Oreochromis niloticus: one gene and its partners. The protein of the gene in region 3 interacts with the protein of the main gene of each other region in a pairwise test. Links are inferred from orthologs where the notes say so. Each region holds a gene or a part of one and is shown on either strand. Other genes may lie near its edges.

Region 1 (7,410 bases), on a different chromosome or scaffold from region 3:
CAGTGAAATATTTTCTATGAAGTAAGATACAGTGAATTTCAATACACAGATCAAGACGCTAGCAGACTAAGGTTGCTCATGCAAGTTGCATTCCTCAGGAAGTGAGGGCATACCACATTGCAGAAGTGAAACTTGTGATAATGTCGCAAGAATCTGGTGACATTTGTTACAGCAAATACAACACTCCTCCACACAGGGCAAACCACACATCTAGGGAAATGGGAAGCTTTTGTATGAGTAAGTATTTTACATACAAGTAGCAAAAAAGACAAAGGTTCATTTTAAAAAGTTAAAGACATGACTTTAACTTTCAATGTCAGTAAGTCAGTAAAGATCATCATCTTCAAACAACACCGCACCTCAGAAAAATCTTTTATGACATTGTGAAATTAAAACAAATTCATTTCTTTTTGTCTTACCTTTTGACCGTCACCCTTATTTCATTTCCAGTATGGGAATTAAACGACTTCGTTAAGACTTGTAAAGTCCTACTGTATTCTAAATGTTACACCGTATTTGATTTGTAGTGAATCGCTACATGCAGAGCACTACAAATCAGAGGTAAAACACAAGAACAATGGTATACAAATTCCTTCAAATGAGCTGGATCATTAAGTACATTAAATATTGTACTTAGAGTCTGCTGTATAAATCAGTCTGAGAACACACAAGACTGTGGTAATACTTCATAAGCACTGGCTGTGCTTGATCTCATGGAGTCAACATTCTAATTCCTGATTTTGCTAACAGTTTCGACCTCAGTTTAAATTGTACCATCGATTAGTTTGAGGACATTTATGAAGGTAAAACATGACAGAAAGTTCTTACCGAGCTCATCCATTTTGGTTCCTTCTGACAGCATAAAACTTGAACGTGAGTGGGTGGCTTTTTTTTTCTTTTCTTCTCTTTGTGTGTGTGTGTGTGTGTGTGTGTGTGTGTGTGTGTGTGTGTGTGTGTGTGCGCGTGTGTGCGTGTGTGCGTGCTGGTTAGTTGCTAAGGCAACTGAACTCATTTCTGATCTGATCAAAACCGTCGCTTCCTGTGAGGAAGGTGTGTTTTCGGTTGCTGCTGTGTGAAGAATTGTCAATAGCTAGGAAGACGTTTGTTTGTTTCCTGAAGATGAAAACAGTGAGTTTTATAGCAATGCAAGTGTGATGCCAACAGAGTGAATTTTTCACTTATTAAATTTGTGCTTTTGTTAAATATTTATTGCATATTTCTTTAAACAAGGTGTGTGTTCTGTTGTAACATTACCTCCACTGCAAGTGGTAGAAAAAATCAGCTTCTCTTAATTACTGATTAACATGGCGCTGATAAAACTCAACATCCTTGTGTTCCTAACACAGAGTCAGACTGACATTTTGGTTCACAGATACAGAAAATAGTACAGAAAATATCATTTTGAAGCTGTGTCATGACAGTGTTTGCCCAGCAGAGTTTGCTCTGACTCCACTGTTCACAGTTCTCTTAGCAGTGCAAGCATCACATGCAGCAGGATCCATCAGTGGAGAGTCAAGTAATGTCTTCACCTTAAGTTAACCTCAGTTTACACTTGTGAAACACATTGCTGGAAAGTTCATAAATAAACTATTTAATGTAACCTTGCACTCTGTATTTATACTCATAAAGAATATGTGGGATTTGTATTCCCTAGAATATGCGCAAAAGAAGGAACATTTTTTTTTAAAGAGATCTATTTTCTGTCGCCTACATTGTAGAGGGCGACTTTGCCTCTAAACAGAAAATGAGTATAGCCCGGGGTTATAGCGGGATTCAGCACGTAGTGGAACCCTAAAATCGGTTATAGTGGCTCAGCGTGGGGAAAAGAATCGCAATTTCTATTGTGAGCTCTTGTAGATCTTCTTTGTGTACAGGCTGTGATCAGATGATCTGGGGTGCTGCTGCTCTGAGGTTTATTGCTCTTTGTGGTTTAACACAACTGAATTTAACAAGGTGTGAGCAGGTGTTTCATGAGTTGTCCTGTTCCATCCTCTACACTGACACTGTTTATGCTGTCCTTATACTAAACAGTATGAAGGTGGAATTCAGTGAATGAATCCAAGTATAATCAGCTTACCTTCAAATTCATCTTTGCAATACTTAATGTAACCTAACTCTGAAGACCACAGCCACTTTGCACCAATCTAACACAACGCTTTATTTTAAATCCATCACATTACTGCAAGTGAACCAGCTTATCCTGAACTAAACTCCATATTTTCATGCAACCTTTAAATAATACAGTTGGTCTGTGTCAGTTTTTTTTCAGCACATTTTACAACATGAAAAAAATAACATAATATGTACAAACCTGATATTCAAATTTCCAGTTTATCAAACACCACCGAGCAGAAGTTAAATATAACCTCTCTTCTTCCTCTCCTGCCCTGTCTTTATCTCTCTCCATCTCTGAGTGAAATTAACATCTTCACAGCAGATCTACCTTTCTTTAGCTAGCAGACACACAGTGTGACAAACTGCACACACAAAGAGTTTGTGTGTTTCCTGACATTTGTTGAGGTGACAAAAAATTACCTGCTACTTAAAAAATATCACTCCTTTTATGTTTCTCTTGGTCCTCTTCTGTAGTGCTAGCTAGATGCTGAAGTACAGCAACTGCAACTTACGGACATGTGCACCCATTCCTGTGTTGTGCCGAAAAGTGATTATCTGCCAAAAATTGATTTCCAGTGTTTCTATGTGGGTTTTTTTTATGTGTCATGTCTTTACTTATATTGGTCAATAGACTTTAGTGAACAGGATTTACAAAGGGGTTATTTATATAATTTAAAAAATACATGTTTTTCAAGTATCTTTATGACTCTGGGTTACTGTACCTACATTGTAACCAATCCAGTCCATTTTGGAAGTATCTTTATAGAATTATTGTTATATTTGTTGCAATTCCTGCTGTCCTCTTGGCCAGATTACTCCTAAAAAGACATTTGTTAATGTCAATTAGACTTTTTAACTGGATAAATAAAGTATATATAAAAGTCACTTTCCCAAAAACTGATCTACAACGATAGGAATGTTGTTTGTGGCTCAAGATGACTTGATATCGTTCATGAGGGATACATTTGACATATGTTTTAGATATTATAGGCCAACAAGTTATTTATGGCAATTTAAATACAGGCAATCACTTTTTAGCAAATACTGGAAATCAGTTTTTGGCAGGCAATCACCTTTTGGCATTTTAACCCCTGATTATGGTCTCTTTCATCTCTTTTTATGTGACATATCCTTGTGAATAATACACGAGTAAGATTGCCTTTCATGTGTTGCTGCTGAGGCTCAAATTTTGAAGGTTTGATGTTTGAAGATGCACACTGACATGAAAAAAAGAACTCCCCTCAAATGTCTTAAACCAAAAGTACCGAGTCTGTTTTGAAAGTGTAAGGAGTAGAAAGTACAGACATTTGGTTAAAAATATAGGTAATAAAAGTAAGAAGTTGTTAGAAAAAAATTAATACTTATGTAAAGTACATATACCTGAAAAGGCTACATACTTACAGTAACGAAATATTTGTACTTCACATCTCCACTTCGACTTGTGCAATTTGCCGTCATGGTGAGGCTAGATCATATGCCAGCTGACATAGGATGAGAGACAGGATACAGCCTGGACAGGTCACCAGTCTGTCTCATATGCATACATGTTTTCGGATTGCTTGAGGAACCCAGAGGACCCAGGGAGAACATTTGAAACCAACACCTTCTTGCTGTAAGGTGACATTGGTAACCACAACACAACCCTGCAGCCTTTAGTATTAATTCCAAAAATCCAGTAATGGTGGTGGTGGTAAGGATGGAAGCAGTTCTAATAAACAAGCAATGTAAAGCATATTTGAAAGATATATATTTTTAAGAACCCCACTAACATAGAAATAAAGTTTGGGATGCAAATTTTTAGATTTAACATCCCATGATGGCTTTACGTGAAATGGTAGTGTTTATATGGTTTATTTTATTTAACCTAGCTGTGTTTGGGAGTCTCGTATATTATGCATATCATCATTATAATAAACCGGAATGAACTACGAAACTATGCTTTGACAGCTTTTTAGTCAAGTCAAAGTCAAAGTAAACTTTATTGTCATCTCCGCTATATCCAGTGATGAGGCTCCGGTTACATCAGTGCAAAAAAGCCTAATAAATAGATATAAAAGGAGTAAGAAAATAAATATACACTTAAGACGATATTAACTTTTATAACTATGTGTTACCCCAACATTATGGACGGCACACCCGCTTTTCCTGAGAATGAAACAGTGTGCTTTTTAGAGTTTCAGTAAGACAGATAGTGACAGTTTCTATTTTCACTTCACTCACCATCTGGCGCTCAACTCTCCGCTGATTACTTGCGTTATCTCGCACCACTTTAGTCGCAACCATTATCTTACGGGGTGGGGTGTTTGTTCTTTTGTATAAATCTATCAATAACAAAGAAAACCTATTAACGAATGATTTTATGATGAAGGGATTTGAAACCTGTATCTGTTGAAAATAAAGTTGAAAAACATTAAGCTATTCAACCAAGTGAGTAATTACAAGTAAGTACTACCCCCTCCTCTGTGGTTTCGTCTTTTACCGGAAAGGTCCTTGTTTACAGCACAGCTCTTGCTCCACGTTAGCATCGGTGATTTGACAAGCAGGAAACGGGTTTTTTTTTTAAATAAACTTTTAAAGCAGTTCGCAAAACTCATTGAATTAATCCGTGGTATACTTCGACTGGCATGATTGTTTGGAGGCGGAAAAGCTACCGACAAGGGCAGCAATGACAAGCTTGCTAACGTAGCGCTAAGGTTAGCCTGCTAGCTAACTTGTCACTAAGTGGTGCACCCAGTTTACTGAAACAGGTACCGGTATGTCAATTTAACTCTATAACAAGTACTCGTGTCTGCTTCTTTACTGACAGGCACTCGCACTGCCACGTATCACGCCTGGCTTGCTTAGTTTATGACCTGACTGGCTGCTCATAAGAACGACCGCGGTCATGGGTGCGGAGAGCAGCGCGGTGCGGAGCTGCACCCTGGAGGAGCCGCTCCTGACTCTGCCCACCGGACCTACCATGTACTCGGCGGTGCTACAGGATGGAAAGCCCGCTTCTGTGTTTGTTCACAAACGTGGCAATGAAGACAAAGTCAACAAAGCTGCCAAGGTGTGTAATGTCCAGATGTCGCTGCTCGCCTTTGCCGTCGCTCATGTGCATTATGCATGGAAGTGTGCAGCCAGCACACTGCTATGTTCATGTTAGACACAAAGTACCGCTGCAACGTTGAGACATTTTTACCAAACTTCTCCAGTCGGTTTTCTCTCTTTTCTGAAACTCTGTAGAAAAAAAAAGTTATTTAAAAAAGCGAATTAATGCATCACGTGTGATTGTGTGTGAAGTTGAGCTGTACACACGTGTGTAATGTGGATGTAACATTTTAATTAAGAAAAAAATTAACATGGTTTTGCTTAGTGGAAGAGCCACCTCCAACTTCAGTATTCTCTGTTGTGACTAAAATTAAATAAGTGGAAGTATGAGTTTTATTGTGTCTTAACTGACGGGTAAGTTAAAATACTAATTATTTGCAATTCTTACATCTGCTTAATCATCCACACATTTCACCCAGCACCTGAAGACACTGCGACACCCATGTCTACTGCGCTTCCTGTCCTGCTCAGTCCAGAATGGTGCCATCCACCTGGTGACAGAGCCTGTGCAGCCCCTGCAGCTACTGCTAGACAGTCTCTCCCCAGAGGAAATTTGTGCAGGCATCTATGACCTCCTGCAGGCACTTGTTTTTCTGCATGAGAGGGTGAGTGTTTCTCCAGTCTCTGCATGATTATATTAAGGCATGTGATAAAAAATAAAGTGGAAAAACAAGGTGCCCTGTAGATGAAGATGGAGAGGGTGATTGACCCTTGGATGTCTTTCTGTCTGCATTAAACATGCATGCATATTCATGCAGGTTCCAAACTTGTGTTGCTCTTCCACCAGGGTAAGTCGAGCCACAACAACGTCTGTATTTCATCTGTATTTGTCAGTGATGATGGTGATTGGAAACTGGGAGGGATGGAGACAGTCTGCAAGTTCTCTGAAGCAACTCCTGAGGTAAGAAGTGCATTAAAGCCATATGGGCAGTCATGTGAAAAAGAAAGTTTCAGAAGAATTCTTTACTGTCCTGTGAAAAACTAAGTAAATATCAGTCTTCTCAGTCTTTTACATCATAGTGGAAGAATAACAACTCTTTTTACAACATTGTTTCAGTTCATTGAAGTTTGCAGGCATTGGCTTAGGAGAAGCTGTCAAATTTCAATTGATTTAAGGTCTAGACTTTGACTTAGCCATTGCAACAACGATTATTTTCTATTTTTAGATATTCTGTAGATTTGCTTTTATGTTTGGCATCATTGTTTTGTTGCATGTTTGCATGTTGTACTCAAATTTTGACTACTACTTGAAGTTTTATCTGTTGGATAGAGTTGGTCTTTGGTATACAGAAAAGCTCATGGTTGACACAGCAAAGTGCCAAGGTCATGTGGTTGAAGAGCAAGCCAAAATCATCATCCCTCCACCACTGTGCTTAAAAGTGTTTGTGCTGATGAGCTGTTTTTAATTTTTGCTTGATGTGATTCTGTGCATTATAGCTAACCATTTCCCCTTTGATATCATGTAGCCAAAGGACATAATACTGGTTAAGCCGTTTTCTAATCGTACTGTCATAACATGCTGATATTTGAGAAAACATTTTGTATGACTGTAATATCACAATTCAGTCTGTGTGTGTTCACTCAACTAATGCTACGTTGGCAAAGATTTATCCAAACATTGAGCCATTTTTTCTTGCAATGTATATACAGTTCAGCAGTTTTAATGCACATTTTTAGACTGTTTAAAGACTCACTCTGTAAAATATCAGGTTTATGTTCAATTTTGGATATTCCTAAACTCCTTAGTTCCTCACAAGCATCCAGAATGCAAGAGAGGCCAGCTATATTCCTCCAGAAGAGCAGGTAAGCAGATTAAAGTTAGTGATTGACAAGAAACATTTCCCACTGTGTTGACAGGTTTTCAAGAAACTTTTTCTTGGCAGGTGGAGGGTTTTAAAATCCTTCCGGATAAACATGCTCACTCTCGGGACTGTTACTCTTTTGGGATGATGGTGGAGTCTCTTGTTCCTCTCCTTAATGGCTATGGTAAGGAGAGGTGACCTTGAATATTACATTTCATTTTTTCAGGTTTAACCTGCATGTGCATTATCATATACTTGCACTGTTCCTTTCAGTGTCACAGGAGCTTGCTGCCAGCTTGACAAAAACACTGCAGGCAGGCCTGTTGAACTCTGACCCCATGTCGCGGCCACCACTCAGTTCCTTGCTCACCAATGACTTTTTCAGGTTTGTCTGGTCATGCTT
Region 2 (7,882 bases), on a different chromosome or scaffold from region 3:
GATCTGACACAGAAGTATAACTCAAGAACGTCCGCCTGCTCTTCTGATGTCTTTTACTAGAGAGAGTGTGAAGTTCATGAATATTGTGAATGTGTATCGCTAACAGCTTTGAGATCACGTAAAATTTAAAAAGGCAGTCACGGCACTCTGAAAAAACACTGCCCGGTCACTGCAACCCACAGGGGACAACATTCACCCGTGAATATTTAACAACAAATAAAACATGGCCAAGAAGGCGTGCAGACAAGGTCACAGTTAATTATCAGTGGCATTTTCATTCCTATTTTTTAATTTATGGATATATTAACTTTAAAGGGTGTTTCTTCTCTGAGGCTCCAGTAATTTGTGACCCTTTTGCAGGCTCAAAGTTAAACATATACTGTTGTGTAGTTATGTGTGTATACCTGCCGCGGTCCTCGCCGTCGTCAACAAAATTTACAGCCAGTCTGTTTCCAGGTGGATATTCAAAGCCGTTTAGCTTTTCTCGGGCATAAAGTGCTGACCCAAGATTGCTGTAGCGAATCAAAGCATGGCCTGGAGGCAGGTGACACACAGCAAAGAAAAGGTCTGAGTGGAATATTTTACAGTCATCAAAACAGAATGGACCACATCAACATCCACAGAGAACAGAGACTGCAAACTAGAGTAAAGCTGATGTAGTGTGTAAAATAATCAGCAGCTCCATCCAGTTTTTCAAATGTGAAGGTTTGCTCCTTTTAGCCATCTCATGCAATCAAAAATAGAATCTCTTTAGTCACTCTCTGTCACACTAAGAAAACATTCATGATTAAAATCTTGTCACATTTGTAGATGATTAAACCCATAACATTGGTGGCTCTAAGTTCTGTAAGAGTTTACTTTGAGGTTACTGTTCCCAACAATCTGCTCAGTGTTTAGTGATTCCTTGGCCCAACAGGTCAAGTTGGACAGTTACCGTCCCTGAGCCTCATTCTGCAGATGGTTCGTTTTAAAAGGGTTTTTTTCTCCTCACTGCAACAGATTCTGACTGGTGTAACATGTTGGAGGTATATAAATAACATTGAACTGTTAACCTTTGTTCATTCCATAGGCATCCCTCTGCAGCTCGCAGTACTCCATGCCAGGTATAATGTCAAACAGAGAAAAAATCTGCTCCTGATTGAGTGCAACCCGCGTGGACACCATGAGACAGCGTGTGAAATCACCGTGGCGGTAATCTATGACTGTGTAGTTCCCAGGGTCGCCTAAACAGGGAAGAAGGACACCAGGGTCAGTACCAAGACAGAGGATAATACTAAGACCTTTACCCTTTCCTTTCTGTGGTAGTAAATTCTGATGACAAAGAAACTCGTACCCAATGAGAACGCATACTGGTTCATGGATTCAGAGCCGCCAGTATAATCATTTCTGGCTGCTGCTCCTCCAGAGCTGTAATCTTCTGTTGCTGTTGATTTGCTTCGAGGTTCAGCCAGGATGGCCCTGTAGGCTAATAACACCATTTCCACAGCTTTAAATCATAAACATGCCCTTTACTAAGTGTTAACTGAAGTGAGAAGTCACCACAGCTGTAACCGTTCACCAACCACTCTGTACATTTGATGTTCATACTGCTGCTTCTACCAGGATTAATGAACAAGTAAATGAGTTTGGCAGACCTACCTTTGTCGCAGTTCTCTATGGCGAGGGCAGCTTGGGAGGGTTTGTAGTATCTTACGTAGCCGAGGCCTTTACTTTCTCCTGTAAACTTGTTTTTGATAATCACACAATACTCAATATCCCCATACTCCTGCAAAACAGAAAACAGAAAGAATCTAAATGAGCATTTAGGAGTGTCAGCGAGTTCTAGAGAGGCTGAAATAAGATGGTCTAAAAGAACACACTATATACACTAAGCATAAGTGGTCTGTATATAGTTAAAGTATGATTTTTTGTTCTTACTTAACACACGTTTATGTATGTTCCTGTTATTTTTAGGCCATTTGATAGACAAATATAAATATATTTAGATTATAGCAAAATACTTTAATCACAGTCCTGGTGCAGGTTCTTTGATAGATGGCCAAAACCTCTTTGGGTGAGCACACAAATATTTTTTATAAAGGAAACACAATACTGACATTAAACAATCAACGCAATTTCCGTTAGACACATAAAAAACACAGGCAAGCAAAGAGCTGCGAAGCCATAAAAGAAGAAGTATTACTTTGAATGTTTCTTTGAGGTCCTCTTCTGAGAAGGATTTGGGGATCATGACAAAAATCCTGGTCAGCTCCTCATCCTCAACATCTCTGTGTCTCGTTGATGACCGTGACTGGGCTATAAACACCTGAAGAGCCAACATTTCCAAACAAAGAGACACAAATGATGCATTATAATAGCGGAAGATACACGTTAATTGTATATTTTCGAAGAGGAATCGCAACTATGATTTTTTCTTATGTAAAGTTAAGAATAAGATTTATCCCTAGCCATGAATATTCCATGTTTTGTCTTCTCAGTTCCAAATATTTAAAATTTAAACAGCATTTTGCACATAAGAGTGAGATTGTAGATAATTGAGGTTATGTGAACTGAAAGCAGCTAGCGATCACGCCCCTTTAGCATGCTAGCTATACGCAAATTATAAATCGACAGTCTGAACTGAAGCTGACAAAATATAATCTTTTTGGAGACCTAACCATTGACATTACCTTAACAGGTTTAGTCCCTTCCACCAGGACTTTGCCATGCATTTCTTCCATGGCCAAGCAGGCCTGAGAAGACTTGGCAAACTTTACGTAGGCAATGCCTTTGGACTCCTTTGTCTGCTTGTCTTTGACAACCCAGACCCCCTGAATGTCTCCAAACACGTAGAAGCTTTCCCGCAACTCATCTTCGGTGATGGACCGACTCGTCACCACGAACAGTCGGCTGTTGGGAGGGTCGTCGAGGTTTTCGGGCACTTGTTTGGAGGGATACTCCTCCATCTTCGCTTCCCTGTAAACACAGCAGTGTTGCTTGCAGTTGTTAGTGCTGCCTTCAGGTGCTCCACGGCATTTGTTAAGTAAATTATAACGGCTCTTGTTATTTACGTGTTTATTTACGTGGTTTGAAAAAAAAACTTTTGGAAAAGTAATTTCCTTCATTAACATTATTTAGATTGAGACTTTTAAAAATTCACGACTTAGCGCTTGTAGTAGTCATTTGCAAGCATTTGATAATTTAAATATTTAGAAAAAGTTATGAATCAGAGAAGCAATGAGATTGAATCGTGCATAGAGAATGCTTATAAGGCAGGAGATTAAATGTTGTTTTAGTACTTTTGTTTTAAATCTTGAAATATTTAGAAAGTGAATTGCTTTGTTCGCTGTCAAATGAGAACTTTAGTGAATTAATTGTAGAAATTCCGACAGTCTTAAAGGCATCCGCGGAGCTGATGACACGTATTTGCGTTTACTGCCCTCTGCAGCACAGGAAGGAGAAATGCAGGTGTTACAAAATACCCTGGTCTTACGAAAAGATGCTGCAGAGAGGTTTTGTAACTAACACGTTAATTAACATGAGTAATGGGACTTATCACCAAACCAGAACACCTGATGGCTTATTAATCCTATTAATCGTGTTCTATAAATACCTGACACAGGATTACACTCTTAGACAACATCAGGTATCAGCTGTGAAATAGTTACCTGAGCTCTCGTTCTGTCTGCCTCTGTGTGTGTTTGTTTAAAGAAATAAGAGGGAACTAGCCCTTCGTTAGAGATGAGAGAGTTAGTCACATTCGTGCTGGGGACAGACGACCAGAAAAGTTGTAAGATTATATCTATAATGGCAGACCATGATTTTTAAATAAAACACGTGCTGTTAAAAATATGATGTGCTGTAAGGGTAGATTATTAATTTTGAAAGCATCCTAGTTTGCATGTGTGTGTGTGCGCGCGCGCTCGTGTATTTTTAGGTGCTTACAGGTCACGTGCTGAATGACCCTTCTGAGCACAAACGTTTAGATTTTATAGCCGCTTTCTGTCATAATAGTATTCCCGTTTCATATGTTGTGAATGATGCTCGCTATATGTCTTTGTGTTTAGTAAAACAAGTCTTTTCTACTATCCTGGGGACACATAGTGTCACCTTGAGAAAACACTCAAGGCTCAGCACTTAACCTTTTTATTTTATTTTTTTCATTTTCTGTCTTTCATGTTTAATATAAATATCATTTAGCCACATAAATTTCACTTTGCGAGTGAGGCTTCATTTTGGGATAAGGATGTAGAGTGCAAAAGGCAATGTAAGAAACTACAGATAAGTAGAAGACATAAAAAGAAGACAATCTATTTTATTTAATAATTTGTAAACATTATGCACACGTTTTCTATTGGTAATTGGTTTGTGGAGACTACATGTACTTAAGAGTATACGTTCATTGAGTGACTTATTAAATTACGTGTCAGTTTTGTTAAATTAAAAGGCTATCTTTTGTTACCAAGTTAAACGCGGAGTACTTTCGGTTGCCAAAATCATTCATGAAACTTCTCCAGAAAAGCAGGTTCCCTTTGCCCTATAATGGCTCTGGAGGGAATGCGACAAGATTCTTGGGGCCTGTACTAAAACTCCCTTTCGTTTTCTTGCTCTCAGCCTCGTCGCCTCGCGTGTACACACATAACAAAACTTGCTGCGTTCTTGGTAAAACCTTACATATAGACACGATATGAGTGTTTTCTGTGTTTAAATTGTATTTTTTTTTTCATACAAATTAAACGACTTCTTTATATAAAATTAAAGCTATGACAGGGATGAGGCTACATCAGTTTATAGAAATGATACTACACCGACACGTAATGGTTAAGCGGTAATCTCGCGGCACATGATTGGCTGTGATGACGTCGAAAGCCGGTGCCTCTAAAGTGAAGTGACCTTCTTTGCGACCGTCACAAACCGCTTGTCGGCCGAGGCTGAGCCGGTTACTTACCTACAGCAGAGTATTTTTAACCCGACATCTTCTCATCAAAGGTAAAATTTCATACTTTATAAATTTATTTACAGGAGAATCGAGGTTCTATTATAAGTAACAGGATATGAGCCGCAACAGTAGCATGTAGCGGGAGTTAGCGCCCACGTTGGTGAATAGCCCGGTTGTGCTCTCATTGCGTAGTCCGTTATGGGGGAATAATAAGGTAATTTAAACGTTATAGCCATTTTACTTGAGCTCTTGTGTGATTTGGGAACACATTTGGGCAACACAGCAGCTTTGAAGTGCAATTTTCGTACGCCGACATTGAAGCATCCTTGACAGCCCCGGTGGGCGACCCATACCCGGCTTGTCGTACTACTAGCACGATGGTTGACCCAAGCTGAGTTCAGGTTGAGCTTGAGTCAGCGATTCGAAACGTCAAAATCGGGCGAAAATGCCACATAGACCGCGAATACATGTTGATACATGTTGGTAAATGGTGTACGTCCTTGATATTACGTGAGGAGGATGCCATTCAGCCGGCTGCCGCCATGTTGGAGGCTACGCGTCTATTGTAAATGGCATACGATGTAGTGCGGTTCGTCTCTTAAGAACTAGAATGAGAAAATTAGCCGTTATATTATGTAACTCAAAAAACTAACCGTATAATGATGGTTGATGTGTAATATATGTAAGATTTGTAGGCAGTTTTAATGAAAAAGGGGGCGGTAGAGGATTTTTGGGGACCGGGGTCATGTTAGTGGTGTTGCACTAAAATGTTTCCCCCAGTGATGATAGACCATCATTTTTAATCTTTAAAGTAGAAGCGACTTTATGGCAGAAACACCGGCCGGATCTCTGCCACAGGTGCTTTAGTAATTACAGCACGTTTTCCGCTAAGCACATTAACCTTGACTCCCCTCGGTAAACCTTCTGCCTCATGGCGCAAGATCATTAAAAAGGTCTTCCTTTACTCGCCAAACCTGGCAACCTTTCCCCCCTGGAGTAACTCGAGCTGAGGCCCTTCGTGGCTAGCCCAACGTGTTTTAAGGGCGGTGTAGTTTCGGCTTCCTGCACTGCTTTTCTGTCAGCTTTCCGGGTAATCTCGGCGTCGTGCCAGCGCACAGGGCAATGCGATCACTTACCTGAATGCATTGTAAAGTTAGAGCCGGCGATAAGAGATGGTCAAAGTTATGGAGTTGTCTCCTTAAGTGACCTTCACAAAATGGCGCTGGGGTCAAATTAGAGCTTTGAGCTTCCTAACTGGGCTATGAATAGAAGACAGTCTGATGTATTTAAAGAGCCCTTCATAATTCTGTATACTTTTACTTTTGCTTTTTAAACTGCATTTTCATCTCATTCTATTCTTTTTCCTGTTGCCTTTGTTTCTCCAGTCAACTATGGGAGACGCTGAAAAGGGAAAGAAGGTTTTTGTCCAGAAGTGTGCTCAGTGCCACACGGTAGAGCAGGGTGGCAAGCATAAGGTGGGCCCCAACCTCTGGGGTCTGTTCGGAAGGAAGACCGGACAAGCAGAAGGCTTCACTTATACAGACGCCAACAAGAGCAAAGGTCAGTTCACTGGGTCTCTGAGTAGAGTATAAATACCTTTGTATGCTAGATGTAGATCACCAAAGAAGGGAGATTGGCATTGTCTGAAATCTGGGAATTTTTCTGGAAATTGCCTCACTTGAATAAGTGTGTAGTTTATGTTCACAAACTTTTTTCTTTTTTAAATTCAGAAGTCTTTAAAGGGCTGTTTCATGTTTATATATTGTATCAGTAGCTTACAAGCAAAATATTTTTTCTTTTTTTAACCTTTTTTTTAATTTTAAAAAAGGCAAAGGCTTCCCATTTAAGCATCTATATTAAAAGTAGTTAAACTCCCCCCCCCCACCCTTTTTTTTTTTTTTTTTTTTTTTGTAAGGCTTTAAAAGTCTCATATCCTCCTCCGTTTTCACATTTTAAGTCTTGCAGGTTCCCAGAATGCATTTTTGTTTTCAGCTCAAATCACACACAGTTTGTACCTGCAGGTGGTTTTTCTCACTCTTGAAGTGAAGTTAATAAAATGGTCTCCTGTCGCCCTTTTTGGAAGAGTGCCATGTCTTTCTTGCCACTGCCTTGGATGCTCTGATGGGGGGGAAAAAAGAAAAGAGAAAAAGGAAATCCAAAACAACATAACGACCTGCTGAGGTTGTCATGTTATGCAGTGCACATTGACTATAATGGTGTTGGATTACTTGAACATTTCTTTCACATTTTGCAAATGACAAAGCCATTTTAGGTTTCATAAAAGGTCACATGGCACTCTTTCACTGTGCACACAGGCCTAACGATCCCTGTGTCATCCTCACCATTTGTTTTCTCTATAAATCCTGCTGAAGCTGGGGGCCAACACGCTCAAAGTCCTTTGTGTAAAACTGTCCTCGTGTGGCGTTTTTCCTTCCTTCTGTAACTTTCCTCTCCCAACTTCAAACTCAAGAAGGGGCAGGTCTGTGATATCAGTCAAGATAATGGTAGATGCGATAAAGACGTGTTCTTGTAGCTTAGCAACGGTCAGCTCTTGAGAGAAGTACTCTTAAAGGTTATGGGTGTTTTCAAGGACAAAAGGACAGATCTTTAAAATTTCCGCTATTGTCTCAGTGTGACTGTTTTGACATCGCAGGCTGCTGACACTAACAAATATCCTGTATTTGTGGTGAAGCAGTATGTCATCTGACAAGCCATCAGATACTTTTGGAGTACACAAACAGTTTGTACAATAAAATGTTCAATTGCTACAAGACTGTTTAGAGTTGTAACAAGTCTCTAGTGAGATTCATTCAGAAGAAGGCAAATGAGTATGAGGTGTTAGGTGACATTTATTTTCACCTCAGTTAATTAGTTTTGAGTCTAAACTAGACTTATAAATGGTAGCTTTAATTCCTTTTTTTAAAAGATTGTATACAAGCTAAATGCTTTTTATTAATGCGGCCT
Region 3 (7,312 bases):
AGTTCGCTGTTGATGACCCTCTCTGTAAAGTCCTCGCTGTCCTGCACATTGAAGGAGACTTCTCGGCGGGAGGTGTGAGGCAGGGCGCGAGGCAGACTTCGTGACGGGGAGAGAAAGGACACCCGGGTTGTAGTGGACTGAAGGGATGTGGAATAACAAGAGGAAGCGACGGAGGCAGTGGACCTGGGGAGGCAGCGGATATCGTTCACAGACAGTGTCCAGAGTCTTCGTAGCAGCAGCCTGTGAGCCATCTTTGCACAACAGGCAAAGATACAGAAGATAAGTGTTACTTATTATAATATTAATATTGCATTTCAGACACTTCAGATTATAAGATTTAAAAAAATACTAAGAAATCTATCCAAAAACGCTATAGGTCCCATCCCGTATCCACTCTTAAACCCTGCCTGAGCTTTACAAACTGGCACCAGTTTCCAGGACTATAGTTAGTGATAAATTAATTACATGGTGACACCCACAATATTTATTTCCAGCTCCATATTTTCATTCTTGACTTGTACAAAAGTAGTTTCGCATAAGTTACTATTCTAAATAATCCATTTTATAGGCTTAAGATCCCTTTTTTTCTTATGCTGCACTTGGTATAAACTGTCGATAAAGTGTTTAACTGTCGATAAAGTCCCAGTTTATCTGGTAAACAAATATAAAGTGTAATAAAAAAATAACTAAATCATATTTATGCGTGAATGGTTGTCTGTGTCTATTTGTTAGGCCTGCGACAGACTGGCGACATGTCCAGGGTGTACCCTGCTGGCTGACAAAGACTCATTCAGACTGATTGCAACATGTTGGCAGTCCATCTGTATTTATATATTAGACAACAGTTATCTCCAAACCTTCAACTCTCTCAAAGTGACTGCACTCAGTCCAAATCAGACTGCAACTGTTTGCAGAAAGGTTACTTCCCATCAGGTGACCTGCGCAATCACCTTGTGATCAAAAGTGGTTGTGTGGTAACCATTTAATCACGACCAGGTTGCAGAACATGAAAAAATTCAGTACAATCACCAGAAAGCCACCGGTGTAGATGTAAGGAGGTCGCTGTCCTAGTTTTGCGTGTGTGACTGAGTCATTAGCTTGCTCTGAATTAGGAGGCATCTTTGTAAAGCTAAGTGTAACCAGCGTTTGACAGTTTATCAGCTGGGCTGATTTAATGTGAGTTTGCTCGGCTCATCATCTCATGACGTGAGCCTTCTTGTTCATAGTATTTTAATTTATTAATTCATTTATCAATATTTGCTGTTCCTGTATCAATGCAATAATGCCACGCAAAATATCACAATACAATGTTGCATTAACCCCCCCCCCCACCACACACACACACACACACACACACACACACACACACACACACACACACACACACACACACACACACACCCCTCTACATGAGAATGGTGATATGATCTGCTTTGTTTGACATCATATTGTCATCAGTGCTGTTTGAACTCAGGTTTTGGCTCCCAGGGGACTACCTGTATATGCACTGACCTTTTTATTTGAAACTTTGGCCATGTTGAATATAAGCATTCACCAACAAATTCAGAAAAAGCACAATAGGTTTGCTTTTAACACATAAGTAAAAAAAATAAAATAAATAATATCGGGCTAAACCAGGTAATCTTTTCTTATGTCAGCAAATTGCCCATTTCCAAAACTGGAACTACTGGAAATGGTCTGTGTGGTTTAAGCAAATGAGCTGTCTGGATAGATGGGATAGGAGGCAACAAATGCTGGACTGATTTGTATTCGTACACAACTGACACATCTGTCAGGCAAGTTGGAGAAAAAAGGTCAAGGAATAATCATTTGGACTGCTTTTAAGGAAAATTATATTTTAAAAAAGTCAGTAGATAGAGCGTGTGTAATGCTACTTTCTGGAGGATTTTAGATTCAGTATTATTTAATTAAATATCATTAGGATCTCAGCTGTTGGCCCAAGAACAAGGGCTGAGGTCCACTTGGGTTTAGATCAGGGGTAGGGAACTCCAGGCCTCGAGAGCCCCTGCAGATTTTAGATCTCACCCTGGGTCAACACAAATGAATCAAACGATTAATTCATTACCAGGCCTGCGGAGAACTTCAAGGCATGTTGAGGAGGTAATTTAGCCATTTAAATCAGCTGTGATGGATCAAGGACATTTAAAACCTGCAGGACAGCGGCCCTTGAAGCCTGGGGTTCCCTACCTCAGGTTTAGATGATTATGACATCTTTTCTCCTTTTTTGCAGAAAAAACCTGCAACCGTCACGTGCTGTGTGCGGGAAAAATAATCACTTAGAGTATCCTCTATAATACACTCACAGCTAACATTGTTTTGAGTCACTCAGTGAAAAACTTCTAGTCTCACACGGTTTAAGCTCTCGAGCACGAGCTGTTTAATGAAGAATCAGCGCTAATTAACGTGATTAGGGCTCGTGAGCGTCATATAACGAGTGACGTGAACAAACGAGTTTATTGGCAGAACACACTCAGCCATGTTGCCTTGTTGAGAAACACTTTCTTAATCCCACGATGGATAAAAAGCTTTAAGTATTCAGAATTTCCCCACTGAGAACGGCCCACTCCCCTGCAGCTCTCTGAGCCGTTTTCTCGGCCTAACATCTTGTGTTTGCCGCTTATCTACCGGCAGCTCGCGTGCTCCATTAATCTACGTTACGTATGAGTTTGCCCTCTTCGTCCTCCTCCTCCTACTTCTCCTCCTCTTCCTCCTAAACCTTCCCCCGCCGCTGCCTCCTCGCGTTAAGCAGCACGCGAACACCGAAACCGGACACTTTGAGAACAACACGTTCTCAAATGTCACACACATTAAAACACGCGCCCGCATTTTCACAGCTTACCTCGCTTCTTCTGTCGGCGCTGGTCTTGATCTTGGCCTCGCGGACCAATGAAGTGCTTCCGTTTTGGTGCCGCAGAAAAAAAAGGGAACGTGCGGCTTTTCAGCCGACAGAGATCAGTGAGTGGCGCCACCGGCTGGCCAGGTTTGGAAGCACAGGGTTGGATTATCAGCGTAGCATACTTTTATCTACTCTATATTAACCTGACAGCTAGTTTTAGTTGTAGTTTATAGTAGGTTATATAAGTATTGTATGTATTTACATATTCATACAGGTACAATGAAAACAAAAGGCTAGTCTATTACTGACCTTAAAAATAAATGCTGCTGCTGGAACTCAAAGACAGATAGTGCATAACCCCCATCTAACCCTACTGTGTGTTGTCCAGCAATCTTCTTCCACTATTGTACTATTGCAGAGCTAACACAGAGAGGCAGATAACCATTCACCCCCTGCCACCATTCAAGAGTTGCCAACCAGCCTCATCCATGCATGTCTTTGGACTGTGGGAGGAAACTAGAGTACCCAGTGAGAACCCATGTAAGCCGGGGGCGAATATGCAGACTCCATATAAAAAAGACCATCTTGCTGTGAGACATCAGTACAAATCACTGCACCATGGTGGTGTTGTTGGATGAAGTCTGTCAGACATGGGCAAATGGTTTCCCTTGTTTCTAATCACTCTGCTAAGCTAAGTACACAGTCAGATTCCAGTGGCTTATTTACACAGACCTGACTCTAAGTCTCTCCAAGGCTTCCCAAAATATCCACACAATGAGACAATGAGCAGGAAAATATAGTTTTAGATTAAAACCTTTGTGGAGAAGCTTTGCTCCTGTGAGCCATTTCTGCTGAGAAGCATCATCATTCCTTTAGTTTTATATAGCGGACACGTCCATGCTTCACCTTCCTTTATTTTTCACATTTTATCACATCAAAAGCCACACTTCCTCCAGGTGGACACCTTTTTTTCTTTCAGTGGAGGGTTTTCCTGATCTGATCAAGGATGTAGACAGATCAAGGATGTAGACTGATCTGTCTACGGGCCTGTTTGAACAAAAGCACTGACAGGAAAGCCGGGCTGTCTTCAGCTCTCGGATCTCCAGCGCTGTTTTGCAACATCAACCGCCTGGGCTCTTAGCCAGCCTAGCCCTGCACAAACTGCTCCACTCTTTATTCTGCAGCTCTGGAGCCGTGCTGCCTGCAAATGCACACATCCCTGAAGCTTCAGGTAGCCAGTTGCAGGTGTCAAACATATGCCAGGAAACCATGTGCAAACAGCGATGTGCTCAGAGGTTCAGTCCAGCACCACACAACTGGATGCCATTGAGCCTGAAGTGCACTCAGATCTCCACAGATCAGGGGTTTAAACATAAATGTTTTCTCTAGTTTTAGAATGCCCTCAAAGACAAACTGCACATCAGGACAGTCCATCTGCAACAACAACAACCAGTGGGGTCACCAGTCTGGTGGGCCAGACTGGTGACCCCACTTCAGACATCAGAGGAGCCTGCGGTCAAAGGAAAGATGCAGCAAAAGAGGAGAAAGAGGAGAGGAGAGAAGCAGAAATATATCATGCAATGTCAGATGTTTCTGACATGATGTCTCAGTGAGTCAACAGAACATCTGGAACAGGACAGATGTGATGAAAGGGAGAAGTTTTCTACAAACTACTGCACCCAGGAATCTAGACCCAGCTTGGCCCTGATGGTCTCCCACACACACATTTTTCCCCAGGGTGAATGTATCTGCTGATAATAAATGTTCCTGTTACCAGCCTGCAGAGCTTTCTGAGTGTATAACTGAATGTAAATCTGTTTAAATTTTAAGTTTGTTGAGATCATCCTCGGTCTCATGTTAAAACCTCAAAGGGTAAAATTTAATATACGGGTCATTCTGATATTTATAGTAACTGTAGGCCTCTGTGGAGTGTGTATGGATGACATCATCACTGCGTAGCACTCACCAACAAGAAGCCACTTTGATCTTAAGTGGGCTGAAAATGTGAAACTGCCCTCTCTGTCACAGTAAAGATGTTGAAGTACACATTTAGAAAAACATAAAGTGCAGTTTCAAAAGTACTGTCTCAGTTTTTCTATATGATAACGAAATAGTGCTGTAGTAAACAAAAGAAATCTATCATCATAGATAAATAAATGTATAAAACTGCAGAGGAAGTTATGGTGTGTTTTTTATTTCCTCTATGGACTTATTGTAAAAAGTAGACATTTATAGTGATAAAAAACAGGAACTTTTCTGTGTTTTAACTGCTTATCATTTACTTCATTACTTTGGTTTCTAATAAATGGGCACGGAGGAAGTCTTTATCAGTAGGAAAAACTGTAAAAGCAATGAATATACAGTAAAAAAGTTAAAAATTGATGCCTTCCTATTTATTTTTCAAAGCTGTCAGTTAGAGTGTTTGCTGGGCCGATTCTGGCCCCAGGGCCTTATGCTTGACACCCCTGGACTAGAGGCCCTGCTCATGTATGGATCTGGATTTTTTTTTCCCTATATATCTTATTCAGAGAAAGACATTTTAGGCTCTTAGTTTGTTTGATCTCAAGTTTTCTTTTAACGTCATGTGTCCATTTCTCCAGCAGAGGGTGCTGTTCGTAGTAGCCGGGGTGGGATGTTGATCAGGTTGAGGCGGTTGGGGCATGAAACAGAGCGTTGCTCTGTGTGTCAGGACCAGAACACATGAGCCTCAGTCCTGCTTACCGCTCGTTTCACACACACACCCCGCCTGCACATGTTTACTCTCAACCAACCCAGACTGTTTGTGAGTGAGGCTCTTTTTTCACCCCCCCAACCCACCCCACAAGCCCTCTCTTCCTGCCAAATAAACATTGCACCGGAAATTGCAGGGATTGCTGGGATTTTTGAGGGGGTCCTGGTAGAAAGGAGGAGACGACCAGAACAAGGCTGCTTTCTGTGACACCTTGGAGGTGAGGGGTAGGATGCACGTGCGAGGATCCAGAGTGGAGGGCGTGACCCCTGCTTTAGGTAGTTGATGGGTGCTATCATTACGATACAAACAGGTAAAAGAGACCCAGTTTCCTGTGATACCCTCCTCCACTTCAGAAAAACCAGGAGTGTGTGCTAAGTTTGACCTCGGTGGGCTAAAGGTCAGGAGGGAAGTGATATTCCTGTGACCTTCAGTGGACTGTGCCGTGGACCCAGTGACGGTGCACCTGACCATTCTCCTCCTCTCGTGGCTGTTTATTCCCTCTCCTATCTGCACAAGCCAGCAGTCGAGGGAATACAACAGCCGCCGATGGAGCCGGGCTTTCATAACAGCCCCCTGACAAAGCACACATGAATGGCAGGGTGTGTGCCCTTTGCGTACACAGAACGCTCCCCTCCCGCCTTTGTGTGTGAGTTTTGTCCCAGCTCGCTTCCCATAAATCCCAATGTCTTTACTTGATAATAACAGCCTGGAAAAGCACACAGTATAAAGCCTGTTATTGAGCAGATTGCACCACAAAGATTATTCCACTTGATGACCTTCTGTTTATCTCAGTTAGTGTGAGACCGTATCCTCTGTGAACAGTCACATATTCTACAGCTGACGAGCCATCAAACTTTAAACGCTCTCGCCGCCGGCCTGTAATTGGGATTCTCTGCCTATACACCATTTCTTAATTATGGTCAGTTAGATCAGATGCATGGTACATGTGCTGTATACACATATGCAGCAATGACATGGCACCAAAAGAAGTTCAAACGAACGCTTTCTCATTTGTCACCAAAAGTTTGAGCGTGCAACTATCTTTAAACCGAGCTGTGCGCCGTGTTTACGGGACGACGCGTACACATCCTGGTGTGAGTGTGGCTGCGAGACCATAAAGTATGCCAAACGGTGGCAGGCCTGTGCTTAGAGGATGCATGTGCCTGGATGTACACGCACATATGGGATGACGCACTTGACAGATGCATGAAGCGTGTGTGTATGTGTGTGTGTCTATGTGTTTGTGTATATAAGCTCCCTGTCTTCTTTTCCCAGCTCTGCTCCTATACTGATCTATGATTCTGTGTTTGGGGAGTCAACAGTAGAGTTCCTGTCCTTAGTTTAAAAATAACTTTGGGACTTAAATTCCTTGCCCCCTTCTCATCCTTGCTAACTGGCACTCTCCTAACCTCGCTCTATGCTTGTTTTTCTTTCCCTTTTCTCCTGTTTTGGAACAGTCTGTACCCTTGGTCCCTTTTTTTTTCTTTCCTTTTTTTTGTCAGTTATCCTAAATCCGTCTGTGGCAACAGAGAAATGCCTCAAATTACCAAGGGACGGCAAATAAAAATTCAAATTTCTTTGACTTTTCCCAAAGAGAACCCTATTTCTGTTACAGTTTTTAAAAAAGAAACAGGGTTCTCAAGATTAATAAAACTAATATACAGTATATGAGCAAGATCCAGAAGCACTGCTGCCTACTCTGGACTCAGTTCAGCCAAATGGAC

The links. The genes of interacting proteins can lie anywhere in the genome.
Region 1: the proteins of txn2 (region 3) and scyl3 interact in binary tests that used the Homo sapiens proteins (3 or more experiments, as listed by UniProt). The two-hybrid records come from large-scale screens. The link is inferred for Oreochromis niloticus from reciprocal best matches to the Homo sapiens genes TXN2 and SCYL3.
Region 2: the proteins of txn2 (region 3) and rbm45 interact in binary tests that used the Homo sapiens proteins (3 or more experiments, as listed by UniProt). The two-hybrid records come from large-scale screens. The link is inferred for Oreochromis niloticus from reciprocal best matches to the Homo sapiens genes TXN2 and RBM45.

The regions. Positions count from the first base shown.
Region 1 is NC_031986.2:42,757,912-42,765,321, forward strand, and holds the start of scyl3 (protein-associating with the carboxyl-terminal domain of ezrin), read left to right. Parts: upstream 1-4,399; 5' UTR 4,400-4,556; intron 4,557-4,578; exon of another isoform or gene 4,579-4,808; intron 4,809-4,921; 5' UTR 4,922-4,999; coding exon 5,000-5,164; intron 5,165-5,624; coding exon 5,625-5,810; intron 5,811-5,992; coding exon 5,993-6,106; intron 6,107-6,951; coding exon 6,952-7,008; intron 7,009-7,088; coding exon 7,089-7,191; intron 7,192-7,280; coding exon 7,281-7,392; intron 7,393-7,410. Other genes in the region: lpxn (leupaxin), read right to left, coding at 829-862. UniProt on the Homo sapiens protein: May play a role in regulating cell adhesion/migration complexes in migrating cells.
Region 2 is NC_031978.2:5,580,252-5,588,133, forward strand, and holds the start of rbm45 (RNA-binding protein 45), read right to left. Parts: upstream 3,012-7,882; 5' UTR 2,946-3,011; coding exon 2,670-2,945; intron 2,306-2,669; coding exon 2,183-2,305; intron 1,766-2,182; coding exon 1,639-1,765; intron 1,466-1,638; coding exon 1,334-1,465; intron 1,224-1,333; coding exon 1,053-1,223; intron 535-1,052; coding exon 405-534; intron 1-404. Other genes in the region: cytochrome c, read left to right, coding at 6,180-6,200, 6,304-6,478. UniProt on the Homo sapiens protein: RNA-binding protein with binding specificity for poly(C). May play an important role in neural development.
Region 3 is NC_031969.2:8,127,287-8,134,598, reverse strand, and holds the start of txn2 (thioredoxin, mitochondrial), read right to left. Parts: upstream 3,016-7,312; 5' UTR 2,861-3,015; intron 252-2,860; coding exon 1-251.